4 linked regions of the Rhinolophus ferrumequinum genome follow. The protein of the gene in region 1 binds, or shares a complex with, the protein of each later gene. Links are inferred from orthologs where the notes say so. Each region holds a gene or a part of one and is shown on either strand. Other genes may lie near its edges. The genes, in order: NEDD4, GRB10, ARRDC3 and GJA1.

The links.
Region 2: the proteins of NEDD4 (region 1) and GRB10 are in contact, whole or in part, in a crystal structure (PDB 3M7F), measured with the Mus musculus proteins. The link is inferred for Rhinolophus ferrumequinum from reciprocal best matches to the Homo sapiens genes NEDD4 and GRB10. Residues at the interface, in NP_035020.2 of Mus musculus: Glu71, Leu72, Val79, Arg104, Ser112, Ile114, Leu115, Thr116, Ser117, Val118, Gln119, Glu134, Ile135, Leu136, Phe137, Arg138, Leu242, Pro243, His244, Pro245, Pro246; in NP_001357532.1 of Mus musculus: Ile514, Arg516, Gln518, His519, Phe521, His522, Gly523, Arg524, Asp548, Gln579, Phe581, Gly587, Asn588, Thr589, Lys590, Phe591, Ser592, Ile595, Gln596, Asp599, Phe600, Leu603, Asn604, Ile617, Arg618, Val619, Ala620.
Region 3: the proteins of NEDD4 (region 1) and ARRDC3 are in contact, whole or in part, in a crystal structure (PDB 4N7H), measured with the Homo sapiens proteins. The link is inferred for Rhinolophus ferrumequinum from reciprocal best matches to the Homo sapiens genes NEDD4 and ARRDC3. Residues at the interface, in NP_001271267.1 of Homo sapiens: Glu847, Arg849, Ala851, Pro852, Phe857, Ile859, Asp860, His861, Lys864, Thr865, Thr866, Thr867, Trp868; in NP_065852.1 of Homo sapiens: Glu344, Ala345, Pro346, Pro347, Ser348, Tyr349, Val352.
Region 4: the proteins of NEDD4 (region 1) and GJA1 are in contact, whole or in part, in an NMR structure (PDB 2N8T), measured with the Rattus norvegicus proteins. The link is inferred for Rhinolophus ferrumequinum from reciprocal best matches to the Homo sapiens genes NEDD4 and GJA1. Residues at the interface, in NP_037118.1 of Rattus norvegicus: Asp416, Asp417, Tyr422, Val424, Asp425, His426, Ser428, Lys429, Thr430, Thr431, Thr432, Trp433; in NP_036699.1 of Rattus norvegicus: Pro277, Leu278, Ser279, Pro280, Met281, Ser282, Pro283, Pro284, Gly285, Tyr286.

Annotation. Positions count from the first base shown.
Region 1 is NC_046289.1:53,009,314-53,017,586, forward strand, and holds the start of NEDD4 (E3 ubiquitin-protein ligase NEDD4), read left to right. Parts: upstream 1-5,063; 5' UTR 5,064-5,436; coding exon 5,437-6,996; intron 6,997-8,273. UniProt on the Homo sapiens protein: E3 ubiquitin-protein ligase which accepts ubiquitin from an E2 ubiquitin-conjugating enzyme in the form of a thioester and then directly transfers the ubiquitin to targeted substrates. Specifically ubiquitinates 'Lys-63' in target proteins.
Region 2 is NC_046303.1:2,527,855-2,535,916, reverse strand, and holds the start of GRB10 (growth factor receptor-bound protein 10), read left to right. Parts: upstream 1-4,712; 5' UTR 4,713-4,912; intron 4,913-8,062.
Region 3 is NC_046290.1:59,999,007-60,007,199, forward strand, and holds the start of ARRDC3 (arrestin domain-containing protein 3), read right to left. Parts: upstream 3,141-8,193; 5' UTR 2,912-3,140; coding exon 2,632-2,911; intron 1-2,631. UniProt on the Homo sapiens protein: Adapter protein that plays a role in regulating cell-surface expression of adrenergic receptors and probably also other G protein-coupled receptors.
Region 4 is NC_046286.1:70,969,986-70,977,466, forward strand, and holds the start of GJA1 (gap junction alpha-1 protein), read left to right. Parts: upstream 1-4,183; 5' UTR 4,184-4,395; intron 4,396-7,481. UniProt on the Homo sapiens protein: Gap junction protein that acts as a regulator of bladder capacity. A gap junction consists of a cluster of closely packed pairs of transmembrane channels, the connexons, through which materials of low MW diffuse from one cell to a neighboring cell.

The sequences.
Region 1 (8,273 bases):
GTTACACTATACTTGTGTTAAATATGAAGCAAGGATATATTTCAAAAAAGCAGCAAGGAAAAGTGGTTTGGGAATCAGTGACGTGAGAGAATGATTTGGGGTGGTTATGGAGACTTTGGGCAATATGGTTAAGTAGATATAATTTTTTTTTTCTCCTTCGTGGTGCTACACTCTACCCTTCCATTCTCCTAGTAGGCGCCTCTCCTGATTGTCATTTCTAAACAGATTATAAGGTCTTACTCAGGAGATGACAGGAAAGCCAGCATCTTGGTCTTGCCTCCGTTTACTCTCATCCCTGTACCCTGGTTGGTGGTCCACAGTGTTTTGAGTTGTACCTCCTCACTCCAGTGGATTCTGGGGGGTTGCAACGTCCCATCCAGTCTCTTATCTCCATTCTTTTACAAAGAAAAACTATCTTCTTTGCACTGATAAAATAAAGGATTGCCAGCTCCTATATAGGCAAAAAGCAAAGTTAAACCTGATTTTATTTTTTTTTAATGATACCGGTAGTTTTGATTTCTGATTTCCTTAAGACTATCTTCAAATCCTATCCTTTTCCTAATTTTGTCTCTTTGGGATCCTATTTCAAACCTCCTTAGCATCTTACAATTATATTTTAAACCTGTTAAGATTTGAACATGAAGGTACAAGAACAGTGTTATGTGTTCAAAGTTTATCAGTGATTAAACAGAAGTACCAAAAAAGTTGAACAGTTTTATTCATTTTTATAGCTAACAAAGACACTGGATTTTTTATTTTTAAAATCTGTTTTTAGCGTTAGACCTCATAACATGTTTTCTTTTCACCCTCAAGAAATGACAGCTATACTAGGAACTGAAGGTATTACAAACAAAATCTATTAATTAGCAAAGATGCTTTTCTGCTGCCAAAGGAGACTTCCTCATTAACTGGCAATCTAACTTTTTAAAGCTGAGTGACAAATGATGATTTGATTTTTTTTTTCTGTTTGTATTTTTGCTTTTGCTTTTACTATAGAATAAGAATTTTTCCCCCCTCTGTCTTTACAGAGCTGTTTTACTTCTAGATGGGACCAGTTAAAATTTAGTGTTGGTGTTTTTTCAACAATGAAATATATATACAAAAAGTAGATATAATATGAATCTTTATTTTAAATAATAAGATAAATATCTGTGTACTTTATTACTCAACTTAAGGACTATAACATTACCAAACTCTTCAAAACCCCCTTCAGCCTTCCCAACAGCATTTCCTTTTCTTCCACTCACAAGTAGCAGCCACCATCCTGAAAATTGTTTATCATTTCTTTGCTTTTTAAAAATATTTTTATCATGTATATATGTATCCCTAAAAAAACCAGAGTTTCCTTTTGCATGTTTTTCAATTTATCAAAATAGTATCACTCTGAATGAATTCCTCTGTGACATGCTTTTTGATCCATGATAACACATTTTCACTGATGCATAATTTTCCATCATCTGCAAATGCCATAAAATCCTAATTTGTGTATTTATCCTCCTTAATAGATACCAGTGTTGTTTCCAGGTTTTTGCTGTTACCAGTTGGTAAACATTCTTGCCATGTTTCCTGATGCACATGTGTATCTGTTAAGATTCGTAATTTGGGGTTGAATTGCTGGGTCATGGTGTTACGGTGTTATTTTTCCTGTTGTTACTGACACCAATGTGAATTTCTCCCTGATTCTTGGGTGCTTCATTGGTGAACTATTTTATGTGAGTTATATGTAATGTTGTCCACAAGGAGGGATAGCTCATGTTTGCACTTTTCACCATAGTTGTCTAGTCGTTTTTGCCTATAACTTCAGCATGGTGTAACTCTTTCTTCGTTGCCAAAATGGATATTTCTCATACTCGGGTGCAGTAACACTCCTTGAGCACATGTAGCGTACTATACATGGTGTCATGATATGTCAAAAGGAAAAAGCATTGCCTCTGATATTAACAATGGGATATTTCTAGGGTTATAAACATGATGTATAAACATTAAAAACAAACAAACAAAACAACCTTTAAAGCTAAAAGCAAGCACAAAAGAATGCATTGATCAGTATATTGCAGATTCCCCAGGGGGCAGGGATTGCTTGTTGAAGACTCAGGGAAGAGTTGATGTTACAGTCTTGAGGCTGAAATCTGCAGGGAAGGCCACCAAGCGGGAAACTCAGGTAGGGTTTCTATGTTGTAGTCTTGAGGCAGAATTGCTTCTTGTGTGGGAAACCTGTCTTTGCTTTTAAGGCCTTTAACTGATTGGATGACACCTACCGTCTTATGGAAGGTAATTGACTTTATTCACAATCTAGTGATTGAAATGTCGATCACATCTCAAAACTAGCTTCACAGCAGCACCTAGACTGGTGTTTGACCAAACAACTGGGCAAAACAACCCCGCCAAGTGATACATACATATTATCATCACCCTGGACTTTAGACTTCAAAGTTCTAGTCAATGATTTGGGTTATCCAGAGCCTAGCCATAGCATGTCAATAATCACATTATTTTCTGTGTAGATAATCAATCACCAAACATGTCAGAATGTGGGGTCCTGAGCTTCAGTCTAATCCTAAGATGTTACCTGTGTCACTTCAGAATATGGAAATCTATAGGACTGGCATAGATTCCTCCCCGATGAGGGTTGCCCCCACTCTACCTCTGCTCCCCTTGGGTTAAGGCTCCTCTTTTGGCATCTGTTTGGCTAAGGGGCTACATTTGCCCCAGGTTCCCCAGGCTCTGCACATGACTGCTGTGACAGCAGTACAGAGCCCGTGTGGTCCCAGACCAGAGTCAGCAGTGCAAACTGTTCAGCCTCTCGAGAATTAAACGCAGACTGGAGAGCGAGCTAGGAAGGGCAGATGATTCTCTTACCTTACTTTTCCTCTTTGCAAAATTTTCAAGCATCAGTCCTTCTTGTCCAGCTGCAGTGCTTTTTGACATTTGTTTAGAAGTAGTAACTGGATCAATTTCTTTTTAAAACCCTGAAAGAAATCATGAGGCAGGCAGAGTGGCTATTCATCTATCCATTCAGTCTCCTCTCTGGTGTTACTTAGTGCTTACGTGTTCCCAACAGGAGCTCGGGGCATCAGAAGAAATGTTTAGTTATGACCCTCACACACTGGAAGCTTAAAATCTAGTTAGAGTTTTAACTAACATGAAACTGATGCCAAATATCTGGCCAAATTCTTGAGGTTCATTATTTTATATTAAGAACTAGAGGAGCTTTGCTTATTAACTGAAAGTTTTAGGCCGCAGGCACGAGCAGTTAGATCTCATTGATTAGCCTGTTAGTAGTGATCCATTCTTTAAATTATCAGACCCCTAACTTAATTTAAGACAGAAAGCAGAAGTCATTTGAAGGCAAAGTGAAAAGATTAGGACTGTTTCTTCTATAAAGAAAAGGCATGATACGGGACTGTTTACTGACATCTGTAAAATCATTAAGGAGAGTATACAAAATCAAAATAGCATAATAATTTTATTACTAAGTTTACAATTATTGCACACATTCTAAAACATAGTACTGTCTCATTCGAGTCAGAAATATCATTCTAGTCAGAAATATAATTTAATTGATACCATATTTCTATTTTTTCTTGTCTTAATAGATTTAAAATACCGTTTAGAAAATTGTGATTGAGAACAGATCTGTCTTATGGGGTTTTCTTTTTTAAACAAAGTGCAAGTATGTATTTTACATATTTGCTTTTACTTAGAGAAAAAAAAAAAAACACCTTACTTAAAAAAATACAACTTGGGTGTAGTACCATGTGGTGTAAACAACTGAACTATTTTACTTTTTACTTTCCTATGAATGAGCCAGTATATATTTATTACTGGAGTTCCAGCTATAAAATTCAGGTAAGGGGTTTAAATATACCCTAGAGTATTATTTAAAAATAAATTTATTTCTTTCAAATAGAGTACCAACCTTGGTCTATGACATTTGGGGCAGAAATTAAAATATTAAACTTTTATTACCTAGTAAACTGAAAATAAAGTAAAGGTTAAATAAATACAAAGCAGAAAAAATATATATACAAAATCACAACCCCTAAAAGGACAAACAGTGTACTGTTCTCTACTGGAGGAGCTTTATCAGCAGTAGTAAGTAATTCCACCTCTAGGGCAGTGCTAGTACTCAAAAATGTAAACAAGTACGTACTTTGTTTATATAAAGAAATATGCAGCATGGTTTGTATTTCTTTATAGATATGAAACAGCTAAATGGATTGTTTCAGTGCACCAGTAGGGGCCAGCAAAGAGCTCTTGGAGTTTTTCAGAACAGAATTGGCATTGAGATATGTTTATTTGATGTGTTAAATCCTTTTTAGACTTCTTTACTTACCACAACACTCTCTTAAGTGAATGAATTGCAGAGACAGTGGAATAAAATATCTTGTGTGCTCAAACTATATTGGGGTATAGTTTTTCTGTCTAATCTGCATATATTTTTAATGGAATGTTTGCTTAGGCTATTTCTTGGCAGAGTTTTAATAGTCAAAATATAAATGGCATCATTTAAAGACTGTACTACTTGGCTGTAAAAGCCTTTAAAATTATAGGAGAAAATGCTTGGTGACAGCTTCTCTTAAACTTTATTTTTTCTCAGACATATACTCAATTTTTGCAATAGTATTAATAGGCTCATTTTGTATTTCTTTCCTTATGCTTTCATTTTGTATAAGAAGTGTTTTGGAATTTAAAATACTTATCTATTTGATCGAATGCTAAATTTTTAATTTACCCCACACTTTTGGTGTGTCCAAATTGCATAACTGTTTGAAGTTATCTGTAAAAATTTTAACAGTCTATATTCCTTTCTACATTAACTAACTTGACTAGATTCCTAGTGTGGCCACTATTTGGAAATTCAATCCTCGATTTGATACTCAATTACATGGGGTTTCATTCCTACCAACTTCCTGTAATTTTATCCCTATGGGTAAAAATATTAGTGGTCAAACTCTGCTGGAAAAAGTATAGGCACAGTGATTCACACAGTTAAATGTTCATTTAGTAGAGCTGGAGTGAAAAAAATACTGTTTTAACTTGAAATGCTAGAAGATTGTTGTTCTTGTGTTACTCATTCATGCAAATTGGAGAAGGTATAATTGAAACAAGGTTGGCAGTGTTTGAGGCAGTGAGCTGCAGCTGAGCTCAGCTTTAAAGGTCGCTGGAAATCAAGTGCTTTGTAAGTGAAGGCATTTTGACTACAAGCAATTCAAGACATTTTGGAAACGTCAGTCTCAGGAATGGGTCGTCTTTTTCTTTCTGAGATATCTGGTATCTAGTGTTTTCCTTTGGATAAAGACTACTACTTAAGAGCTCTTTTAGGCACCACAAATGATTTTTTCTTTCGACGCAGTGCAGCTGCTTCTAGCCTGTCTACCGACAGAGATCTTTGTTATGACTTTCAGCCCTTAACATGTTTGGAAATGAGAACAAATGGCACAAAGCTTACGATTGCACTTTGCAGCCAGAAGAAGCAATACTTATCCTTTGTCAGAAACCTCCGGAGATGACTCGGATAGCAATGTTCCCATGTGCTTCAAAAGACCAACACGGATTTCAACGTCTAACGTTGTTCAAATGAAGCTGACTCCCAGACAGACTGCACTAGCTCCGTTAATAAAGGAAAACGTTACGTCTCAGGAGAGCTCATCTGTTCCTCCACCTGAGAATGTTAATAAAAAGAGCAGCTGTCTACAGATTTCACTACAGCCAACAAGGTACAGTGGATATCTTCAGTCTAGCAGTGTCTTAGCTGATGCTGACGATGCTTCATTTACCTGTGTCTTGAAGGATGGCATTTACAGCAGTGCTGTGGTTGATAATGAACTAAATGCTGTGAATGATGGAAACCTTTTAAGCAGTTCTGCCATTTGCAGTGGTAGCTTTAGTAACTTTTCAACCAGTGAGAACGGGTCTTACAACAGCAACGGTAGTGATTATGGGTCATGCACAAGTATCACAAGTGGAGGTTCCTACACCAACAGTATCATCAGTGACAGCAGCGGTTATACTTTTCCATCAACTGATGATACTTTTCTGGCCGGAAATTTATCTTCTGACAGCACCTCCTATAGAAATGTGCCAAACAGGAATACTACTCCATGTGAAATTTTTTCAAGATGTACAAGTACAATTCCTTTTGTCCAGGATGACTTGGAGCATGGACTAGAGATTATGAAATTGCCAGTGAGCAGGAACTCGAAAATTCCACTAAAACGTTGCTCATCCTTAGTCATTTTTCCCAGGAGTCCTGCAAATACCCCACCAACTTCTCCGACAAATACAGGTATTCTTCCAAGCAAAGGATCCTATCAGACGTCACACCAATTTATTATTTCTCCTAGTGAAATTGCCCACAATGAAGATGGTACTAGTGCTAAGGGATTTCTTTCAACAGCTGTCAATGGACTTCGGTTATCTAAAACAATCTGTGCTGCTGGAGAAGTAAGAGACATACGACCACTTCAGGGGAAGGGCTTATCACAAAAGAAAATTGTTATTGCGAATAATAGTCCAAGTCAGACTGTCTTTGAAAAGTCACCTGATGGATATTCTTGTGTTTCAGTACATTTCACCCAACAAAAAGCAACTACAGTAGATTGTGAAGCAGCAAATAGTGATTGTAGACCAGAGATGTCAGAAAGGAAGCTTAATTCTGATTCAGAGTATATTAAGCTGATGCATAGGACATCTGCGTGTTTACCATACTCCCAAAACGTGGATTATCAAATAAATATTAATGGACAGTTGGAAAGACCAAATTTACAGATAAACAAAAACCGTGCTATTTTACAAAGAAGTATTTCACTGGGAGGGACTTACCCAAATGTTTCCTGTTTATCCAGCCTTAAGCACAATTGTTCCAAAGGGGGACCATCTCAATTACTAATAAAGTTTGCATCTGGAAATGAAGGTAAAGTTGATAATTTATCAAGAGACAGCAACAGAGATTTCACAAATGAACTATCTAATTCTTTGAAGCATTCTTGTAAGGTAAGTTTCCTTTGGTCTTGGTAAATGTTAATTTATATTAGAATAGCTTTATGAAATATTTGGTTATAATTTAGCAGTTTTATATACTTTCCTGGTCCTTACTTACCAAGCAAGTATTTTGTAGTCATGAACTTTATATTTGTAAATCTGATGAACCCCCAATAGTTTTTCACTCTATTTGTTATTTTACTAATGTAGAAAATATTCATTAAAAAAAAACTTTCTGAAGTGATTTAAGCCATAAAACATTTCTGTAACATAAAAACAAGCTTTAAATAATAATTTATTTTATAACACTTTACCTTGATGTATTTTTCCCTCCCCTCAAGAGGCATAATATTTTAATGTGTAACTCCATATTTTATTCCTACTTACAAAAATGCTCATTTATTAGTCTCCTCTCCGTAATCATTGTGAAGTAAAGTAAAATATAGAATGCTTATTTAAAATATTAAGCAATAGAAAGTGTATGTAAAAATGTGAAAATCTTGTTAGAAATGAGCATAGAGAAAACTGTTTTTCTAAAATACATGTATTTATTAGATCATTGTTAAAAACTATTATGCTGCATGTTTAAAGCAGAGGAAAAATAAATGACATTTTCATTTGTATATGCCTTAACCACAGGAATTTTGTTTCCACGGTATTTTTCTTTAGCTACCAGGTAAGACTGCCTTCTGAAATGTAACTTACTCTTTCAACAATATTGAAATCTAAATTTTATATTTTTGAATTTGGTTTCAATTGTTAGGTATTTCCCATAATTTTTTAGTTACCTTATTCATTTGTTATTTGATAATTTTGATTTATTATATTAGTAATTTAACTCTAATAAATCTTAACTAAAACAGTTCTTTATGTAATGTGGCCTTTCCAAAGTATGTTAAGTGTTTTGACCTTAAATAGAGTTTTTAAAATTTCTGAATTTGGAAGGTCTTGCCAGGATATTAAAACATTTTAAATACCAGGAAATTAAATTTTTTTTCTGACTAAACCAATTCTAGATGACATTATTGGAGGAAAAACTTATCTGTTTGTCTGTGTTTAGTCACTCAACGTAACACTCAATATCTATACTAAAGATTTTTTTTTAAACTTCTGGAGAGGTAGCTTAAGGTAAATAAAATATGAAATAATTGCTAATTTGTTTTCTCTCTTTTGAAATCCAATAAATATAATCATTGTTACCCAATGCCCAGATGTTCAGATAAGCAACTAGTTTACCAAGGATGAATTAAGATCAGATTTCATATTCTGATCTATCTTTTAGAATTATT
Region 2 (8,062 bases), on another chromosome or scaffold:
GACGGGATATAAGAAACAAACTGCAAAAGGATAAATTGATAATAGTTAACCTACAAAATTAAAAACTTCTGCTCTCTGAAAGATACTGTTAAAAAAAATAGAAAAGTCTGGTGGAATATATTTGCAAAACACATATCTGCTAAAGTACTGGTATCAAGAATACAAAAAGAACTCTTAGAACTCAGTGATAAGGAAACGATTGATGCAATAATAATAATAGTAATAATAATAATAATAAAATAATTGGACCAAAGACGTTTACTTCAGAGGAGAATGCAGATGAATAGCACGTGAGCACGTGGAAAAGCACTCACCATTTGTTGTCGTGAAGAAAGCGCCAGTTAAAATCAGAACGAGACACCATCGCACACCAGTTGGATGGCTGAAATTAAAGAGGCCGACAGCGCCAAGTGCTGGTTGAGACGCAGAACCGCTGGGGCACTCACACCTTTTGGGGGCAGATGCCCACGGTAAAGTCACTTTGAAAGCAGTGTGGCCGTTTCTTATGACACATTTCATATGGCCCAGCGATCTCGTTTCTTGTTATTTACCCAAGAGAAACGAAAACTTATCTTCCCGGTAAACCCTGTATAGCAGTTTTATTCATAATCGCCCCACAGTGGGACCTGCCCAGGTTTCCGTCAGCCAGTGAATGAATGAACAGACGGAGGTGCGTCCACTCACGGCACAGCAACCAGCTTTAAAGGAGCACGCTCGTGATGCACAGAGCGACACAGATGAATCTCACACACAGTGAGCCGAGGGAGAAAAGCCGGACACAAAAGGCTACATACTGCGTGATTCCATTCATGTGACAATCTCGAAAAGGCACAACTAAGGGGACAGAAAGCGCATAGAGCAGTGTGTGCAGGGCGTGGGGATGGGACATATTGCAAGGCACAAGAGCGAACTTTCTGGGATGATGAAGCTGCTCTTTATCTTCCCTGACATCACAGTTACACAGCGGTTAATTTTTCCTGTAGGCAAATCCAACCTCAATAGATCAGACTTAAGAGGAAACATCCTTCAGTGAGCCTCTGTTTGAATTGTAAAGCCATTTTGATTCAAGGTATCTCAGGAAAAGGAGAGTTTATATTAAGACATCATACGGAAAATGCATTTCCATTGAAAGGAGACCTGCGGTGGCCCAGACCCAGGGAGACAGGGGACCGACAGAGGGCATCCGTTCAGGGCTTGCTTTCAGCGCTTCCCTTCACACATGGGCCCAGCTCAGGTGGTCCTCACCTGGTGCCTGTGGTCCAGACCCCCTCCAGTACTTCCGGTTCGGACTCCCAGGAGCAGGCTTCTGGTGGGCCCATCCTTTCCTCCACAGGCAAACCCTTGGAATGGGAATCCCTGGGCCCAGTGTCATCCCCAGTAAATCAACTGCTATGTAGGGAACCACAAAAGGTGGGGGTGATTGGGGGACTATGGACAGTCCACTGAGGGGGGTACATCGTGTTGGTCAGCCCCGCGGCAGCAGACAGGTCTCACACTCTCCCATCACCTTTGGGATAATGGAGAAATGCCTGAGGGCGACAAGTAAGTCCCTGCTGGCCTTTCCAGCCTGGCCTCTTGTCACGTCTCCCGCCTGCCACGCAACCTCCTCCAGCCCCGCCCCCAGCTTTCTATGACGGAATGTGACTACTTGGTAACTTTTCTTGGCTTTGGTGAGGTACCTGCATCTCCCTCGACCTGGCAGACCTTTCCTTTGGCTCCCTTTTCGGCACTTAGCATCTTGGATGCTCCAGGACTCTGCTAGGGTGTGGCCTCTGCTGGGAAGCAAAGCCGCCAGGCTCCCCATCCAGGCTCCCCGTCTCTGTACCTTGGGGCCGCCTGTACTCCTCTTGCTCAGACGACTCAAGGAGTCACTGTATTTGGAATACTGGCAGTTGTGGATCATGGGGAAGTCTGTTAAAAATGCAGAGTGACCCTGGGGGGCGGTAAACTCCTCAGGGTGGGGATGAGCCCAGGGGTCTGCAGGGTGAACAGATTCCCTTGGGTCCTGCGGGGCGTATTACAATTATACTGTGATTGCAGCTCAAGCCCACCCCACGGTGAGGGGATGGGGTGGGCTGGCAGTCCTTAGTGCCTCTGATGGCTGGCTGGTGTCCAGCTCTGCCCTCCAGATGCATCCCCTCCCACGCCTCTCCCCTTGCATGGCTGGGCCATGGACTGGCCTCTGCCCACGCAAGCAGAAGTGAGGGCCACTTCTGGCCAGAGGGCTTCACTGTCAGTGAGCAGCTCACCTGGCGCCCCTTCCCTTTGCCAAGGCTGCTGGCATGTGTGAGACGGTGCCGGGCATCACAGCATCTTGCCTGCTGCTCTGCTGCTAAATCCCTTTGCATGGTACCACTTCCCAGTGATGAGGGGTTTTCCTGGGTGCCCGCTCAGTGCCAGGATGACAGCAGTGAAGAGCACGCAGTTACCCTTGTCACATGGTTACAGTCGACAGAGGGGACAGGTACCAATTATAGAATCTATCGGATTCTCTCCATGCAGCTGAACAAGCCTTTGCGCACGTCTGGATAAGTGAGTTCCTCACGGTCACAAAATGCCGTTTCCCGTCCTGACACCTAGCTGCAGCCAGGCCATTTCCCCTTGGGGAAGCTCTTGAACACAAAGCCACACTGCCTTGCTCCTGGCCGGCTGGGTGGTCCAGGGTAACTCGAGCCCTGCATGGCTGATGTCCACCCTGGCTGCTGTCATGTGGGTGGTGGGCATTTGGAATTTGCGGCAGGGAAAGGCATTCAGGTGCAGTTTGCCCACAGTACAGGTGTGGCCAGGACCCCGGTCCAGGGGACAGCTGCAGCTTCTAAACCCACAACAGTGACACGTTCATGAACTTGGATCGTAAAGTGGTCCTGAGTGGACCTGCCCAGAAAGGAGATGCATGCGGATATATCTGCGGAGAGCCAGGACAGGTGGGGGCTGAGCGCCTGTCCCAGGAATTTCAGGGATCCATGGAAGCAGGAAAACACTGGAGGACATTTATTTTGGTCCCCTCTCAATGAATAGTAATGTTTGAAAATCCACACGTTTAGAGACAGTAAGTTCTCACCTGACCCTACACTGGGTCCTGTAATGAGGGGAAAGGAACGTTATCAAGGACATTAGCAGATCAACGGGCAACGCTGGGCTATGGACCGAGACCAGACACGTGTACTTGAGCAACATAAATGTATGAATTTGCTAACTGTGCTTCCCTACTCTTAGGGAAGACATCAAAGTATATAGGGGTTAGGGGCTATAGTGCATGAAACCTGCCTACACGGGACTCAGGACAAAACGATGTCTGTTCACAGGTGCTCTTCAGACATCTGCAAAAGCCCGTGGCCGGGGCAGGCTGATTGGTGCCGTCAGCAAAGCTACAAGGTTCAAACTCACATACTTGTAAGAAGTTGGCCCAAATTGAGTTTTCTCTTCTGTGATTTTCTCCCGAGTCCTTTGTCTTCAACAGGAGTCCTTTGTGTTCTGTTCTCCCAGGAATCCAAGATCCTTCACGTCATTCTTTCTAGGTTTTCATCTTACGGTTTTCTGGGCTTGGACCAATGGGTAGACATTTTCAGGAGGCCTATTTCAGTGGCAGGAAAGGGTGACCTTTCATGATATATCCATCCAAAGGTGTGAAAAGCAGGAGCTATAAAAAGTGCCTGAAAAGGGCTTTGGCACCGTCCTTATTCTGCACTTACCAGCTACTTGACCTTGGGCAGGGTATTTCACCTCTGCGAGGTTGGATTTCCTAATCTGCACCGTGGACATCTCCCAGTGACAACCTCAGAGGGCCGGAGTAGGGGCTGGGTGACAGATTGGTGGCCATTTGGCATAAATGAATGGTCAGAAAAAGTTACTGTTGTAGCTGTTTTTGTAACATGAAGATCCAGAAAAAGACATAATTATTGCTATCCTATTTGTATTGTAATTTTGACTCCGTAGACACATTAATAATTATATTAATGATAATGGTTTTCATTCATTCGCAGTGTCCTCCGTGCCAGTCACTGTCACAGGTATGACTTCATTCAACCCCTAGGATATCACCCTCAGGGGGGTTTATTAGCCCATTTCAAAGATAAGGACACTGAGGCTTGGGGGCGCTGAGAACCTATGTAGGGCCTCCTTCCGCCACCCGCATTCACTCCAGTGCTCACACGCAGATGGGGAAACTGAGATCAGATAGAAGAGGCCCCAGACCTGGGTGGCTGTGAGCGGGCACCGCAAACCCAAGATCCCTTCCCCCCCCACCCCACCCCCCCCCCGCCCCCCGGGCTGGACCGCCGGTCCAGACAGAGTCCCCAGCATTGGCGCCTCCTCGGTCCTCCTTGCACTGTGTTGGTGATGCAGGATTTGGACCATACAGTTAAGACTTTGAGTTTCAAAGAATTCGCTTGCAAATTGCCTTTCGGGATAGGTCCGATGTGTCTTCCGCCGGCGCTCGAGCCTGGGCTGTCGGGGTCCCACGTCTGGGGCTCCCGGGAGGCAGGACCAGGGACCCGGGCGCCCACGCCCGGCTGCGGGCCCCGAGGGTCCGGCCCCCTAGCCCGCGCGCCCGCACCACGCCCTGCGCCTAGGCCGCGGCTCCGCCCGCGCTGGCGGCCGCCGAGCGGTCCCGGCTGCGGCGGCGGGAGGAGGAGCAGGAAAAGCGGCCGGGGGAGGAGGCGGAGGCGGCGGAGGCGGGCGGGGCCCGCGCGTTTAAAGCCCCTCGAGGGGGTGGGGAGGCCAGGAGGAGGCTGGAAGGGCCGAGCGGCGCGCCGGCAGCGGGCTCAGCGCTCGGAGGCCGCGGAGACCCGCGCGGAGCCAAAGTTTGCGCGCAGCCCCTAGGCTGGGCCGGGACGCCCCGCGCGCCCCGCCCGCCCCCTGGGCCCGCTCCTGCCCCAGCTGCGCCGAGGTCCCCCGGAGCGGTGCCGCGCAGGTACGGAGTTGGGTGGGGATCGCGGCCGCAAGTTACTTTGTGGTCCGCGCGGCGGGGCCCGGCGGGCGGGCGGTCCCCGTGCGGTCATTGTCTGCGCGCTGGCCGCCGGGCCGGGGACGCCGGGCGCCGCGGGGGCGCGGCGGGCGGAAGGGCGTCGCCTCCGGGCTGGGGGCTGCGGGCGCGGCGGAGCCGGCCGGGCTCTGCGCGGGTTCCCCGGGAGCTGCGGAGCCGGGCAGCGCCTCCTTGGACCATCCCGTCCGACGCCGGCAGCTCACGGGCCGGGGCCAGGCTAGGTGGGGGCTGCGCCCGTCCACGGTCAGGGCCGAGGCTGCGCTCCCGGGCCGCCCGGAGGGTCCCCTGCAGCCCCCCTGAGCCCACGCCGAGCCGGGCACTCCCCAGCCCGGCGCGGCCCAGTCTCGGGAGGGTTTTTATTCGGTTCCGTTAGTGACCCCGTTACCCGCCGCTGGGGCCTAACCCCAACTTGAGGGCTCGCGGATTAGCCGCCGGCCAGCCGTGGAAATGTGATAAGAGCCGTACCGTTTGCAGAAGGAAATTTCTGATGCAACTGTCTGCCTTCGCTGATTGCCTCTCCAAAAGCCTGCCTGGCGAGGCCCTGCAGCATGTGCGCTATGGAAATTAGGGTATTCTCTACTTTTTATTGTGTCCCTCTTCTCCTGGGGTTGGAAGAAATGCCAACTTTTTGTCGTTTGCTTTGACGAAAACCTTGGGCCCTGTAGGGAAGCCACAGGTGACTGAGACACTGCTGGATCCGCGATGCACTAGAAAGAAGGACTTCTCGCAAATGTACCCAGTTTCATTCAAGAGATGCAAAGAAAAGACCAAAACAAGTAGCGCTCCTGAGTGAATATGCGTAATTGCACAACTTTCTGGGTGCTGCTGTTTACAGGGCCAGGCCCAGAACACTTTGTTTCTGAAAATGCTGAATCAGCCGTTTGGAGCCCCCAGCTTCAGAAATGGTGCTCTACTTAACATTTCGCTCGGTTTTACTCAGAACACATGTTAGCGAGCAACAGGCGCTGGCTGGGGTTTACAGCATGAGGCTGGTGGTTTCTCACAGCAGTTGACTTGGAGCCCCCCCCCCTTTCTTTCTAGAAGGAAAAGTAGGTGGAATCTAGATATGTATAGCAGAAGAAATTAATTCCAACTTGTGGGGATAGTGAAGTGTCTTTTAGCGGAAGATTTTGTTCAATAAAAGCCCTGGAAGCAAATTTGTTTCCAGGAATGATGTGGAGGCTGGCTTTTTCGGTTAACATCAGAACTCTAGGATTACTGCACGTAACATTTGAGTTTTATTGGGAATACTTGAAAGAGAAGGGCCACACAGGCCAATCTCCAGATTACAGGGAGGGAATCTGAGGACAGACCGGGTTACACACCCAGCCAGCGCCAGCCAGCGCTTGTGTAACTGAGAAGTGTAGCGACTGATACTTTGTAGCATTTCATAGTTTACGAGACACGTTGGAAGCCTTGTTGCTTTTAGCCCTCTACAGCCCTTGGATCCCCATTTTACAGGTGGGGAAACTGAGGCTCAAGAGGTTAAATTGGCATGCCCAGGGTCACATGGCCAGCACATGATAGAGCTATCACCAGAGCCCAAGTTTTGGATTTCTTTTTTTCAGTCCTGTGTGTTTTATGCTTCTGCACGCGTACATCTGCCTCTGAAAGAGAAATAGCCCAGAGGACGTCCCCTGCCAGTCACACACCCGAGAACTAGCAGGGCCCATTACCACTCCCTGGACTCCCAGCTTTTCAGAGCTCTCTCATTGTCGCTGAGGCCATTATCAACATTTTCTTTTGTCTGCTCATTGATTATATGAAAATACATATTTTTTTGGGAGAAAATTTTGGTATCCACTGAGTTGTAAGTTTGATATGGTAGTTAAACGTTTGTTGTAATAAAAAAATGGTGTTTTAATAAAAGCTGTGTACCCCTAAAGTCATCGATTGCATACTGCCCAAGTTCTGTACCATTTTGGGGGCAGCGATGGCAGGGAAAAATGCCTTTTATTTGTGGACCAAGACCCTGGAACTGGCAGGCTCATGCCAGCTACTTGTTGGGGGCTGTGTATGGTGGTGTGCCATCGGAACACAGGGCAGTACTGGCCCAGTGGCAGTGACCGTCTCTCTGGCCAGTCAGCCTCCACTGAGAGAGAATAACAAAGTCAGAACTAAGTGCTAGCCCAGAACCTTTGATTTTGATGACACAGCTGGTCAAGACTTTACTGTGTATAGCAACCAAACTCCTGCTTGAACAGAAACATCTACACATCTAGGACTGTAGAAATTCTGGGTTGGTAGACCCAGTGCTTCAAAGGTGGCATAATGTACAGAACCTGTTTCCTCCGAGTCCTGTCCACCTCTTACCTGCAAGGAAGAAACACCTGTGTACTCAACACCTGTGTACGGTGTAATTAAGTGTGTGGAAGGGCGAGCACGTCTGCCTATCAGAACTCAGAGAGCTGGCTGCAGGGGACTTCTGTTCTGTTTTGTGGTAAAGACGCCTTTCCATTTGCAGTTTGTGGCATAAACCCCATGTCATGTCTGTCTCAGTCTTCTTAAACCAAAGTGGGGTTTGTTTAGGGCTCGTGAGGAGAAAATACTTGTTTTGCCTTTCAATTAAGCAATCAGTCTTATGTTTAAAATTTAAATAACACTTTTTCTGCTGGTAGAGATTTTTTTTTAAACTGTCTTATTTTATTTTTTTCTTAACTGTAGAAGTATGGGAGGTTACAGAAGAAATTAAGACAGCCGAGCTACTTGGTAGGCAAGGCTTGGCAAACAGGTGCTTTCGGGACCTGGAAACTTTCTACCAGGTCTGTGCTAATGGGTTTGTAACTGATCTTATCCTTCCAGCACTAGCTGGCATTTAATTTGGGTTAGTATTTTAGCTGCACACGTCTTGGGAGCTGTCTCTGTCCCTCATCTTCTCCCTCTGGCGGGACACCTATGGCGTCAGGGAGCTTCTGAACTGATCTTGGAGCAATGGGCTTTTTTGTCTGTGCTCCTGGTGGTCATGGGGCCAGTGAACCAGGAGGAGATGCAAGCAGGTGAAGCTGACCACCACCAGCTCCTAGAAAGCCTGATGGCCCTTCTTTAACAATGAAAGGAAAAATGGTGTGACTTTCCTTT
Region 3 (8,193 bases), on another chromosome or scaffold:
ATCAAGAACTAGACCGGAGCAGGAGAGGACCGGCCTAAACCGGCGCGAGCAGATCCTAGCCGGCCCGCCCGCGCGCCGCCGCCGCCCGCGCGCCCCGCTATACATAAGGCATACGTCGCCGGCGCTCGCGCAGCCTAGCTTGCTGAACGGAGGGCGGGGCGACCGTGCCGCGGCGCTTCCGCTTTATACGCCTCAGCTGGTGACCGGTTCGATCTGGCTCGGGCCACCCTGACACCTTTACAGTTGCGGTGAAGGAAACTGGGGCGGTGAGGGATTGGGGGAGGGGAGGAAAGGTTCCGGCAAACAATGAGGGGGCAAGGAATACTAGTCCAGGTTCCTACCCTGCTTTCCATGTTACTACCACTTTTCCTCCTCCTCCCCGCCAGCCTTTGCTTTCTCCCCTCAGACCAAATTAAGGTAGCCGGTCTGGTGACTACATTGGTCGCGAAACACGCTTTGTTTCAGCTAAGAGGAAAACAAGCGTTAACAGAAGCCACCTGACACTTTCTATCCGAAAAATACTAAAATGGGGTCCTGCGAACCAGGCACATGCAAGTTCCCTCAGAATAGGACTGTCAGCTGAAGTTGCGCCCAGGGCCATTCGGCACCTGTAAGGCCAGCAGGAGTTTCTCCCCTCTACTCCGTTGACACCCGAAGTCGTTTTTTTCGGGGGCCAAACAAGTCGAGGTGAGGGGGCGACAGAACGTGATGTGTGTGACAGGGGCCCTGGACACCTCCAGAAGCCGTGGCATGCCAGTAGGGCGGGGTCGACCGCTCTGGAGGGACCTTTACCGGCGCACGCCGGTTCCAAGCCTCGCCCCGGCCTGCGCTCTCCCCACCCGCCGGCGCCCAATCCAATCAGAGCCTGGCATCGCCTTAGCAACAGGCTAACAAACCCGGCTCCGCCTATCGCCGGTCACCTGGGGCGGGGTCTCAGTTACCAGGCTAGTTTGAGAGGTCCCAATTTTAAGTCATTGAAACTATTCCAGGCTAGGAGCTCGTCCACGTTTTCAGGAATTGTGGGGCATCTAGTGGGGGTACGGGGCACATAATCCCACGTAATAAAACCATGGAGTAACTCATGAAACTGTTTTTTCCCCCCATAAATCGTTATTCTACTTTTACCCCATTGCAAGCCTCAACTCCTTAAAAAAACCTTTGTTTGTTCTCAACCATTTTATAGAAAGCTGCAATGTCCAGAAAGGTTCAAACACAAACTCATGTATTTGCTTTTCTGCATATACCAGGACTGTCATTAGGCATGCATTTCTTACCAGCATTACTGCTTGGAAACATTAACTAGAAATTATTTCAGGATGCAAATTACCTATGTGTAACTGCATACCTAACTAAAGAATTGATTTCATCTTAATATTTTTAAAAATAGTACATTAATGCTGTAACTGAAAGCATCCTTCATATCTACACTTGGCTTAGTTTAATTAGCATTTCCTCCGGCATGTTTTTTAATATTACAAATAAAGGTAAAAATGTGCTCTACTCTTTCAAAAATAGTCAACATTTGAACTAAATACTGCATTAAAAAGGAGAAGTACAAAATTACATAACCAGTTTTAACATTATATTCTTCTTGGTCTAGGAATTAAGTCATCGCCACCACCTGACGCGTGTAACCAATCTGCTGAGAGCTGAATAAGCGCCCCTCCTCACCACCCCCCAGAACTGGTCCGAAACAGGATTGAACCGCTTCTAACAAAGGGTGGAAACTTAGAAAAACAAGCTTAGAGTCTCCTATATTTCCACAATGTAACGATTTAAACAATCGATTGGAAACCTCAGGACCTTTTCTCCCTTTGACAACCCTTTATCTCCCTTTTCTAATCAAAAATCAAATCCAATGTGCCGAATACTTTTCAATTTCATTTGACTTGCAGGGGTTTCATTGAATGCACGTTCCAAAGTTAGGCATGATGCTCGGAAAAAAAAAATTACTGATCCTAAATGGCTTCTAAAACTGATTTAAAACCTATCATAACGACAAATACTGTCCTTTAAAATAGAGAATGTCTGATATAATTTCTAAAGGAACTGGAAAGAATAGGGGGAAAAAACACGTGGGGTGTTGATACCATATGTCAAAATAAGCCACAGAAACCCTTTATCAAAGAACAATGATCAATTCTTTGAAGTCTTGTGCGTGTCAATATTAAAAATGAAATCCACCTATTAACCCACTTAAAAATGTTATTCCATTTCTTCATTGAAGCTTAGTTGTTAAGATCTAAGGTTGCAGAGTACAAGGACAAAATCTCATATTGGACTGCATGCAGCTTTTAGCAATTCAGTTGAAAATATATTAGTAAAATTATTGAATTGGATTTAAGCAGAATGTGTAAGGTGCACATGGATTGCAAATGCGTATGGCACACACCAAGCTGGGTATAGAGGTAGTTGAATAAGTGCAGTTTGCAGTCACTTTGCAGATGCCTGCATGCATTACGACTTAACACACGATGAATGTCAAGGAGAATCCAAATCTTCCAACTTTGCTAATCTTTATCAAACTGCTGTGTGTTATGCTAGGAGTAAAATTATATTAATTCAGAAAAATTGAAAAGGTACTTTCCCAAAGAAAACAGGTTTAATGATTTGAGTAATATAAAAACTTACCTCTTTCGTGTCCAATTAAGATGTCTTTATGGTTGAAATATTCTACTTCTTCAGTGTAATTCTGTGTATAGGCAGTGTTGGAGCCGGCGTTTCTAGATTCGGTCCAGCGTACTTTCGCATGTCCTCTTGCATGAATTTTAAGCGATTTTACTCTGATTTCCCCAGTAACTTCTAAATTCACCCTTCCTGAGACTGTATCCCCACTAGAATACACAGGGACATTGCTGTCATTAAGACAGTCAAAGCTTATTGTCAAACTCTTCACCTTTCCCAGCACCATGTTTATAACAAAATCTATAAAAATATAATGTAAGACAAAAAAGTCAAGATCACATATAAAATGTGATCTTCACTTAACACTGATCGATGTCTTTGCCGTGCAAAAAGCTTGCAGGCAAGATCAGTGATTCCTTACAAATAGTTCATTGAGATTTCTTAAAAAGTCAGGGCAGCTAGAAGCTGCTGCTCCGCGCTTCTGCTAGTCTCAGTGGTCTCCTTACAAAGACGGGCGGCTGGAGGCTGCCAGCTCACTTTAAGAGCAGCTTTGTGAAAAACAACCCCGGTGCGCATGCGCACGCCGCGGCTGTTGCCCGCCCTTCTGGTGCGCCCCCTCCCGCGCCTCGCTCGCTAGTTCGCTTGTTCGTTCGCTTGCTCGACTGCTCATACAGTAGGTGTACAGCTTGGGGAAGAAGACATTGGGGCTGCTGGGAGGCTGAACCTGACTTCCCTTCATTGTGGGCTCCTATTGGTAGGCAGGCAGGCAGGCAGGCTACCGTAAACCCTCGAAGTGCTATCTGGAGCCTGTTACTGAGCACACTCTATTTAAAGATAATGGCAGAGGGGGTCACTAGGGAAGAAGGGTTGGGTGGGGAGTTGTTGGTAAAGCCAAGTAAGGATGAACTGCTGAGTGACCAGCCCCAAGCATGCGTTACAGGCACGGCAGGGTTTTGACTACCGCCTGGCTGGGAGTAGGAAAAAGTGATGATTGAAGAGCGATGGGGGAAGGGGAGAAACCGGTTGGGCAAGCGGCTGGTTGCAGAGTATAATCTAACGAATTTCAAAAGAAAACGTAATAAAACCAGACAAGGAATAATATTCTTAGACAAGAGCATTCTTGGCTTAGATTTTCTTTTTTTGAAAAGCCACTGCTTTGTAGGCAGGGTGGAAATGAACTCAGTCGAGGCCAAAGGAACCTTAAAAGAGAATACTGTAAGGAGCAAGGAAGAGAAGCAAGTATAATTTAATCAGTAGGTTTTTGCTTTTTCCTCAACTTCTTTCTCTTCCATCTCTTAATTAGATAGCAGTGAAAAACAACCAAGTTGTTTGCATGATGACACCAGGGTGAAGAAGGGCTTGACCACTTCCTCGAAGGAAGAAAAAGTTTTTTTAAGACACCACCTACAGCTGGAGTTGCAGGGTATGACATGATTATAACTCCTGTGTCCCGAGGATTAAGAATAGAGTTCGGCCTTAAAAAAGTACCACCTTATAAAAGGTAGTATGACATAGTGTTTTAGCAGACATAATGTTTACAACAAGATCGGCAAATCTTTGTTAGAAATTAGTGAAGCACATAAGATGGTATTTAAAAAACGATTTGCAATATAAGTAGGACTTAATTCTGTAAAGCTTTAATTTTCAGCCTTGGACTTTCTCAACGTAATACTCGGTACATCTTAAAGACAGATAACATTTGTCTCTTTATTGTGACTATTTTGGTAACAAATGGCAATGCTTTTTATAAAATGACACTGGGATTAAAAGCATAACAACATAAATTTACCTAGATTCTTTACAATCAGCTGCCTGTAAGAGAAACAAAAATAATATATGAATCTGGAGCTATCTATACATAACCAAATATACTTTGGAAGAGTTTGGGCTGTTCATGTCTAAAACGTTTTGCACTCTTGTGCATATATTTGGATAACTTGACCCTATGATTCACAATAAACTAAATTCATTGAGCTTGCTGTTTTCTTACTTATTTGGAGGAAACAAAATTTTATTTAGTTGGAGTTTAGTTGACAATATATTGGACTCAACAACCTTCTATGGGGATATAAATATGTAAACTATTTGTACAGTTAATGTCAGGCCGTTTATCTCTGATAGAGTTGAGATGGTTAGGCTTAGAACTTAATTTGTGTATTTCAGTGGGGGAAATAGTCTCCTTTTTTCCCTCTTGGTTGACACCTGGTGGAAATTCTAGTTGTTCAAGTACTTGGGACCTTGTACTAGCTTTGATAACAGATACTACTTGTTTTTTTTCGCCACCTAGTGGTAAAAGTAGTGAATTTGCTAAGATGTCAGCTTTTCAGCCTTAAGATCTAATACAAGTTATTAAACATTCAAGTAACACTGGGCAAGGAATAAATTTAAAAGTGCAGTACACAATAAACTTTCATTATTAAATTTGTTTTAATTATTAAGGGTTAGTGATGAATAGCTGAATTCTTCAGAATGTTTAGTAAAATTTCTCCAGTTGAAATGTAACTTATTTCTGAAGAAACAAGAATCAGCTGTTTAAATAAACTAGACTTGCATTTAACCACAAATAATTCTAAGAGATTTACTTGTAGTTTGGAAAATCGTTTTAGCACATTAAATGATTCATTCCTATCACTATATTACATTATTCTTTCTGAAACTTTTAAGATATAATAAATCATTGTCTTTATGATTTATTTTTCTATTTCTCCTTATTTTCTTTTTACTGTGTCTTTCTAAACACTTTAAAACTGACAAGTTGCCAAGAATTTCTTATCCCATATCATTTTTAAGATCCTACTCACCTACCTTAATTGTCATCTTTCTTCTCTTTGGATTTGGTCACACGACTATTTCTTAAGTGCCTAACCTTGAGTTTGCTTCATTTTGTTTTCCTCCTCCTATTTATTCAAATTATGAAAACACCAGAAACAAACAACAAACAACTCTGGTGTCTCTAAATCTATCTTATGTTTTTATTTCTAAAAGAAGAAAAAAGCAACTAAATTTTGAATGTTTTCTCTTGTGATTTTTATAACCTCCCCTTTAAAGACTCCTTATCTAAATATCAACCTGTTAGTTTGAAAAGCTGTACTGTAGCCATTCATTATCTTGGGCTTCTGGACTTGCTTCACAGGGCCCTTACTGTATTTTGCATTATATTTAAGCTATTCATGTTTACCACCAAGGCTCTTTCCTACCGCATCTCAGCCTACATCTCAAATGCCACTTCCTACTCATCTGCTAACTCTCTATACTACTGTTAAGTACATCTTCTTGACAGGAGATGTTAGCTTGTCTTTGGTAACTTTTTTCTCTCTTGCCAATGTGCAGTTACATTCTGCTTTCTGTGCTCAGAACAACACCCCACTGCTGTATTATCTTCTTTCCCTTCTTCTAACCCCTTTACCAGATTCAGTTGGCACACTGAATAAAATCAACTAGACAGAAAAACTAGCGCCTCCTCCCCTTTCTATAGCTTCTTTGGAGCTTAAATAAATAGGACTCTTCTTCTTTATAATACTTTTTTTCCTTGGATTTTTAATTCAGTGCTGTTCCACCTTACTGTATAAAGGTTCAAACTCAATCTCAAGAACTCAATCTCAAGGTGTATAATATTGAGGCAGTAATATGTCAAAATTATTGCCACATCTGGAGTTAGTTCATTACTTATTAATATATCAAAATATTCAATATTGTTATATAAAAAAAGGCAGCCATGTCAACTGAAAGTTTTGATATGTGGTTATAAGAAAAACCATATTAGCAGTCATAACCTGTTTCAAAAAAAATGTGAAATCCGTGCTTACTTCTTATTTTAACTAACACCTTGAGTACCATAGAAGTTACGGAAGTTTCTCTGGTTTGTTTATTTTTCGGTATTCTGTATTTCAAGATTTTGTAATTGACTTAAGAATTTAACTTCTTCAAAATGCAACGAATTTGACTTTGGTGTGGAGACGAGGTAAGATTTGCTATAGTGTTAGCAAAATGAGTAAGATTTGTTTTTTATATTTGATAGTTAATTATATGGTACGTTCATTGCATTCTTCATACTTAATAGACATTAAAATGTATTCTGGATTTTTGTGAGAAAATTCAATACCAAATTTGGTTTCTCTTCTTGCTCATTAAGAAATAGTGTGAAATGTGAATGTCTTTAATCTTTTATGTTTGGTTTCTTGATTTAGAATAAAATTATTCATAATTCTATCCACCCAGAGATATACCCCACTATTAACTTTTTGGTACATTTCCATCTAGAAGTACAACTAGGAAGAGCCTTGTCAGTTAAACTATGGCAATGCTTCTTAATCGTGTAGACTTCTTTGACAATATATCTGATTAGTGCCTCTAAGGGACAGTCTCTTGAATGGATTTGTAACCCACAGGGCCTGCTAAATTAGATGAATTGGCAGTTTATTTATCCAGGCTCAAGTCATATCGGGCCTGCAAAAAGAATCAGAAATGCTAAATTTCTTTTCTGAACTATTTTTATGACTTGACGTAGCCCAATTTCATGTAATTTTATGTAACGAGGGTAAAAACATTATAAGTATAATAACTAATATTTTCCTGATGATATTGAGTTCTAGTGGCAAAGTATAATTGAAAGGAACCAGTTCTCAGTTTTTTATATCAAATTCATATTTGGCTAAATGGAGTTTCATATTTCATATCTTGCTTGGAGAATGTTGTTCTTCCAATCATCTACATTTTTTCTGTTGTTGAAGAGAAATTTATTATAAATGATTTTAAGACCTAAACTTGTTATTTACAGCTACTGCCTTCTCAATGCTGTTTAATGGAAGCATTTTTCAAGGATCTGCCTCCTAAGGTTAGTTTTATTTACTGTTGTTAATTATTATCCTTATGTTACCATAACTTAAAAATTGTGAGAGAGAATTATTGCTTCTCACCCATATATGATCAGCTCAGTTTACATGTTCCTGTATTTCCTATTGTTGGGGATTTTATTTGCTACCACACTGAAGAAGTAGTTATGATGAAGGAACTGTTTGTTGTGGAAAAGTTATAAGGAGGAGGGACAATTTAAATGTAAAAGTTTGCTGAGCACTCTCTGCCTCCAGAAATCTAAGGTTTCAAATGAACTTTTGTTTTGGGGTCAAGAAATGGGTTAGGTGAAAGCTAAACCTTAAATTCACATTTTTAATCTATGACCTAGTAAATTCACATTTGGATAATCAGCAGTTGGTTTTAGGGTTGTTGTTTGTGTAACATACGATGAATGTTTAAATAAATTTAAAAATAAAAATATGGTGAATATTTAAATAAATTTTTTACAGTAAAAGACACATTGCCATTAATCCCCCTCAGAATACTCCCCCTTGCTTCAAATACACTTATCCCATCATTCTTGCCACTTTCTGAAGCAGTTCTGGAAGTCCTTTTTCGTGAGTGTCTTTAGTTGTAATGTCTTAGCTGCCTCAATGTCGTGAATCAATTCAAAACGTTTACCTTTCATGGTCATTTTGACTGGGGAAGAGCCAGAAGTCACAAGGTTCCAGATCCAGTGAATAAGGTGGAGGAGGACACACTGTGATGTTTTTA
Region 4 (7,481 bases), on another chromosome or scaffold:
AGATAAAATGGAAATTTGGTGCATAGATAGTATCATTCTGATGCTAATGAAAGGCATTCCATAAGACAATGGAATCTTATTCCATTACAAAATCACTTTAGACCTTCTCAAGCTTAGATAATCCTTTTATTCTTCTACAGCTGCCTTTGGATTCCTCCAGATGTAAACTTTTCTTCTCAGCTCAGTTCACTCTTATCTCAGTTAACTGATAACCTCACCTACTTTACTTTAGATGTCGACTTCAACCCTAGCTTCCTAATGCCCACACTCTCCATCTCAAAACATTTTTTCTTTATGATCTGCATTCACTCTTGTTTTAAAGGAATAACTGTCCTTTTTGCAAAGTTAAGACTCCCCCAATGTTCAGGTGATATTTTTCCTTACAAACAAACCCACTTATAGCCATTTTAAACACTCTTCCCTTTTCCAGAGTCTACCTTGTCTCTTTTTTCATTTTTTCTTTGCCTGCATTAAATGAGGGTATACACTAAGCATACTGCCTACATTCCATCTCTTAGTAATCTCATCTGTACCTGTGGTTTCAAATATAAATTCTATGAGTATAATCCCAAATCTTATGTCAATTTTAACCTACATTCCACAGCCCCAATTTTAAATTGCCAGTCAGGTGTCTTTACCTAGATGTTTCAGTTCTTCATACCAAAATATTCCAAATTGAAATCATTAAATCTCTTTCAGCAAATCAGTTCCTCCTCCAGACTTCCTTTTTTGTGTAACTTTTTCCTAATCAAAACTCCAAAATCATCTTCCACACCTCTTCTTTAATCTTCTTCACTCAATCTGTCATCAAGTTCTGATCATTCTACCTTCTTTCCTTTCCTTTCTTTGTCCTAGTACTCTAGTTCAGGTTCTTGAAACTCACTCTTCTACCATGTCGACATAAGAAATGTGCAAACCTGTAGAGAATTTTTGTAACTGTTTATTTGAGCCAAACTGATGACATATTCCGGGGAGCAAGATCTCAAATATTCTGGAGAATAGCAGTTTTGCAGTTTCTTTATGCATTTGAAATTAAGTAACAGACTGAGGCAGATTACAGGAAGGTGGGAGAAAACAAGGCAGGGATTGGATTACAGGATAGTTAAGATTATCTGCTCTCTTGAGGGTGGTTACACTTTAGAAAAAGTAGTCTGAAAGGGTGGTTAAAGAGACATTTCAAAGCTGTGTTAACCTAGATACAGAGAGACAATGGACAGGGCTTGCTTAAGGCAAAGAAAAAGCTTTTCTAAAGTTATATGCCTGGGGAGTGACTACCCACCATGACCTGCCCAGTTAGGAATTTATGATTTATTACAGCATCCCTTCTTTTTGTCCACAGTCATTACAATATTCTCCTTAGTAATCTCTCATCTACAGTCCCAAAATATTTTTGAATGTTTATGCTACTCATTGAAGTAAGAGTAACCTGCCAGAACTTGTGTGATATAGGCATTTAAAGTACTTAAAAATTAATCCATTCATCTGCTAAAATTCCAGAAATTGGTATTCTGAAACAAAGGCAAACATCCAAAATGCAATTGGTTCTCAGGTTAAAAATACTTCTCACAATTCGGAAAAAGAGTCTACTCTTCAATGTGCATTTCTCAAGACACAGAGCAACGTGGTTAAAACAAAATCTAGGGTCTGGCTCGTGGTGGTGACTAAAGAAACCATACAGATGACAAGAACTGTAAATGACTGTCCCTCATCCCGCTTGAGCACTGTTTCCTGACTAGTAAATTAGGCTGCATCCATTTCTTCTGCATAGACAGGCCTGGCAATCAGAGAAGATACAGTTTGGAGAAGTCAGTGTTTATATTAATGAAATAGCATTGGCATCTCTGAGAATATGATAAAAACACATTTTAAAAAATCTATTCCATGATTTTAACAATGGAGACATGCTTCTAAGTTTATATAAGTGGGCTTCTTTATAAAAATAGATTCTAGGTCACGATATAACTCACCAACCCGGCTAGAGTATTAGTGAGGTATAATGAGAGTAACTACTCAGCATTTGGAGAAGCTGCTAGTTGCATGAGAGAAAACTGTTGTTAATGTTCCAACGGAAGCCATTCACAGTAACCCTGTTCCCTTTGAGCATTCCTACTCATAGGGTCACATTTTGGTGCCATTATCCCAAAATAAAAGATCACATGAGAATGTCTTAATTTTCAATGAAGGATCATGAGGAAATCATTTTAGAAATAGAAGACACAGTACATCCTATATATTATGAGAACTAATTATTTAATTAGTGGCTCATGCTATGACTAGCTTTTGATTCAGAAGATAGTTCAAGTGACATCCATGAGGAACTTAATTTGGTATAAAGAAGTGCTTTGGTTCTACTTCCCATTTGTCACATAGGCAATAGACTAAAAAGAAAGGTAGCAGAATACTTAGATATCAGCCTTTTAGAGACCTAACAAAACGTAACTGGAAAGAAAGCAATTTTTGGCTTGCACAACCCTGTTACAAAATAGTCCACTGCAACTTTTTTTTTTTGTTCATGCAAGTAATGCTGAATCAGCATTTTAGGAAAACTTTTTAATAAAATGTATAATATCAGTAATAATTGTACTTGAATAATTTTTAAAAGGAAAGCAAATGATTATGTAAATTAAATGAAGCACAGACCTTTTTTAAAAAGGGGAAGCCAATTTTCTTATAAAAATAAATCATATTTTCATGAATGTGTTCTGAATCGAATAAAATAATTTTTAGTTAAGATAAAAACAATAGACTCGTTTGAAGGCAAACTATAAATACAAGACCAAAACAACATTTATGGGTTGCTGAGCTTGAAGACTTGAAAGTCAGATTACAATTTCTATTTCTTTTTTCTCCTCTAACTTAAAGAAAAATACACCCTTGGAAATAGTATAGCCAACAAATGAAAGAGCAATATCGTGTCTTAAAACTACAACATTTCAAAAGATGTTTTATTAATCTTTTTAGTGAAGATATATTTAGAGAAATGTATCTACCATAAAATATTTGCCATTTTCCTTTTTTTCTGGTATTTGTATTAGCAAGAAAAGGATAAGGAATATTAAGACTGGATGAATTTGCTTTGTTTCCAAAGAATAATGGTCTAGGGATTTCCCTGCTCAACCTTGGGAGCATCACTGAAGCCTGTTTATGGGGAATTGTCCTAGCACTGCCATCTGGTATGGCATCCGGGGAGTCTTCAAAGGAGGCCACATGACTCAGGCTATTATATACCCGAATGCAGAGTGCTTAACAGGAAGAGCCACGGAAGTGGTGGAAAAATGCATAAAATGATATGCTCAGCTCTACTGTCATTGGGCAGAAAATCCCATGGGTTTTAGAAAAGGAGATGATCTCAAGAATAGTTTTGAGACCCACTTACTGTCAATTTACCGTGTCAGTATTTCGTTAAAAATATTCTGACATTTCACTACAAAAGATTTAGTTTTTAGTGCATTGGCATGAATGGGGCTGAGATATTATACATTTTCAGTTCCCTGAAGACCCGATAGAGAGACGTGAGATACATCTCGATTTCACAAGCAAAACGTATTATATCACATATAATAGAATTATAAATATAAATACAGCTTTTGCTAAACTGAAGAGTAAACATTCAAAGCAGTCAAGGGGTGGGAAGGTGGATTTGGGATGGGCACACTACCACATTTGTCCATTTTTGAAATCTCTCTCTCCCATCCCCACCATTTCTTTTGTTAATGGTCCTTACTCAAACTAGAAGAAATGAGATTATCAAATAATTTGCTTCCCCCTCCCCCCTTTTAACTTCACACACCTTGGCCAATATGAAACACATCTGTACTGGCTACACTCTTTTCCAGCATTTTTATTTACTGTTACATGTATTAGGAAAGGTTGTGACATTGTAAAATATACAACTTTTTATTATCTCTGGACTTCTGGGGAAACAGCGCTAAAACCAGTAACTGTTATCTGTAAAAAGTAACTACAAGTAGTAGCATTCTCACCTCGAATGCTTTCATTTCTTTCGTCAGCAAACTTAAACTACAACTTTGTGTCCGACCTCGCCACTCCTCTCTGCCTCCTCTCCCCCACCCGTCAACGTGCGCCGGCCTGCTGTCTAACTCCCTCCTCGCTGTGCCTCTCCCCTCCCCTTTCTCCTAGCCCCTCCTCCTCGTTGAGTCAGTGGGTTGAAACTTTTAAAAGCTGTGTGCTCCAAGTTAGAAAAAAGCTTTTACGAGGTATCAGCACTTTTCTTTCATTAGGGGGAAGGAGTGAGGAAAGTACCAAACAGCAGCAGACGTTTAAACTTTAAATATAGACAGGTCTGAGTGCCTGAACTTGCCTTTTCATTTTACTTCATCCTCTAAGGAGTTCAATAACTTGGCGTTCCTACTTCACTTCTTTTAAGAGAAAAGAGTAAGTTAAAACAAAAAAAAATCTTTACCTATTTGTTTCTTTTTCTACATGTAAAACTTTTCTACAGTTTTTAAATGTGTTAAATGTACTTTTGATATCATACTGTAAATGAAACGATGAACTTGAAAGTGTTTCTATAGTTTTAAAGTTAAAATTGAACGTTCAGTATTTGTGCGACTGTTATAAAGTTTCTATTAATAATGGAACAGGTAAAATAAGATTCAGATCTTTCCAATTAGAATAAAGCACGAGTTTGCTGGATATTTGGTTCTTCATTTTAGAGTTTAATTTTACTTACTTCGTAATCAGGAATAGTCTAGGTGCTTTGTAACTTGGGGGGTGGGGGGGGTGGATCGGAGCCTGGGTTGGAAATTTGACCGACAGCAGCACAAAAATCAGTGCAAATTTGCTTGGCATGCTTGCTATAGAATTCTACACTTTCTGCTTTTTCATGTGGAAATCTTGATTGATGTTCTATAGCCTGGCAAAGCAAGCTTCTTAACAAAGTGCTTTGTTAAGACCTTGCGGTTACTTGACTTCCACGTGGTCCCTTCCTAAAATTTTTTCCCCGGTAAACAAATGGTATAAAAGTCAATGTTGTACTATTGAAGTTTTTAAATCAACAGTAAAGAGTTACTTTGTTTCTGCAACTACTGTGGAAAAATTTGAGACTCTCAGGAGAGCCACCTTTTACTCAACCACGTTGGCAATTCAAGAGATGAAATCCTTTGAATGGGCGGTGGTTGCTTACAAAGCATTAGAGGGCTTGAACACACGTTCAGAAAAGAGTGTATGCCAGGGTGCATTTCCAAAACCGTCTCCTAAAACCGGAGCTCCTAGAAAGAATATGAAACGAAATTTCTTAAACAGCTCCTTAGAGAGAGCTAACATGCCCCCACCCCCACCCCCGCAGCCGCCTTTCGCCTGGCCGAACCTGTAACAGACTCCAGAGCTTTGGGCAGCACTTGAGGTGGAGCTCCCAGGGTGCTGCCGGTAGGCGAAGATTACGCTGATTTGTTATTAAAAAGGATTCAGTTTCTTAAATGCTCTTATTGGTAACACACATTCTGTTAGCGTGTTCTGTACGGATTTTGTGTGTTCTACTACACAGACTACACTCATTCGTTTAAATTCTTGGTGTGACCCTGCAGTTTGAAGTATTTGCACCAGAGAATGCTGAAAAGCAAATAAAAATGAAAGCTCAGCGGAGGTCGGGGGCCGTGGCGGGCGCGGGGCGCTTCCTGCCAGCTTAGCACCCGCCGGCGCTCCCCGGCCCCCGCGCAGCGCCAGCGTCTGGGTTTTGGAGAGGTTTGGGGAGCTGTTGCCCTGGAACCCTCCCTCACACGTCAACCCTAACGCAGGTCCCAGTTCTGCCACCAAAAGTGGGGGTGGGGGTGGGGGAGAGGGTGGAGGGGTGCAGATGGACTGGGGACCCCAATGGTAAAAGAAGAGCAAATGATTAATTAATCTTGTCAATGTAATTTCCCTCTCACCCCCATCCGTAGGTTTTTTTTTTCTTCTTCTTAAAATTCTGAAATCCTACTATACAAGCGTTGGTAAAGGAAATCAGAATGCCTTAGGAATTAACCGTGCTTAAATTGCACTTGTAACTCTCCTAGAAGTTGTCGAAACTTCCCAAGAATGTGGGGTAGGGCGCGACGGGGTGGGGGGAAGCACCGTAATGAAATTAGGAAAGAACTCATGACGTGTTCAAACACAAATCAGGTTTCGGAAACTCAAACCTAGAGTTCCGAGCAGCGGATCGGCCACACTGTCTCAGTTCGTAGCTATCCAAATGTTTACCCAGCATCTTTGGTCAAGTTTACCCTTAAACTCTCCATCACCAGCCCCATACTCATCCTCACCCTAAGGCATGCCTGCGTTTTTCTCGAAGGGCAAAATGGGAAAAGGGGAGCTATAAAATTGTTGGAAAAATAGACATGGCTTTATTTGGAGGTGGGTTTCATTTTTTTTTTTTTTGCTTCCCAAACGAGGTTAGTAATGACAAGATGCTTAATCTCATCCTCCAACTCTGTCAGAAATGCCTTGTGGCAATTTGAAGACTAGATTGAGATTTTTTTGTTTTTAAAGAAGCCTAATCTTTTGTACAAGGATTTCTGAAAATAAAAGACTGTAGTAATTCAGAGATCTCATTAAATTAACTCCATGCCCAAGAATGAAATTATGCCATTTAGATAGAAAATATGTCTGGGGAGCAATAATGAATTTTTCTAGGTAGGCCGAATTGACTGGAAATTATACCAATGGCAGTAAGTATTTTCTGCCCTGTGAATGTGTTGAATTTTGTACTACTGAAACGTGTTCCCCCAATGTGTGATGCTTTGTAATTCCCAAAGTCAGGGTGTAGTTGTCACCTATCCTTTGCGTGGAAAACGCAGTGGTAGTGCTTTGCTCCCACTTTCTTAACTATTTAAACATATTCCATATTTTTCTAATACCCTTTGAAGTTTATTACCACAGCTACCCCATACCATACATACACTCCGTCCCTCACCCTTTATAGTTGACTCTCCCTGGGAAACAGTTCCAAAGATACTCTGCAGCAAGGATCCAAAAGAGTGTGTTTTCAGATATTGACAGTTGCTTTGTTGCTTACATGTTTCCAATTCCTGCATAGAGAGGGATGGAAAACTTAGATAACAGTGCATTCCTTAGTTCCTTTGCTGTTATCCAGAGGTGTAGCTAGGTGTGAGCCTCAGAGCCTTTATATGTGATACTGGAGGGAACGGAACAATAGGAAAGTCACCAGTGATTAATCCCTTCTACTCCACCTTTCCTGTTGTTCTGACTTCCCTTCAAGATTCTTGGCTGTTTAAATAGATTGTTGAAGCTTGTCTACTCAACACTACTTCAGCTCTGGAAAGAAAAGTAATTACCTAGTGTTTATCATTAATGTCAATATTCAAGATAAGTTGTGCTAAAAACAATTCTTCAGAGTTTCTCTGGGAGGTTATTTTTTAGATCCTTTGGATAACGGCCTACATTCTCCACTTAGCTTGTCTAAATTCACCATTTGGCTATGTATGTATACAGACTGCATTTTGCCAAAATTAAAACACAAACCA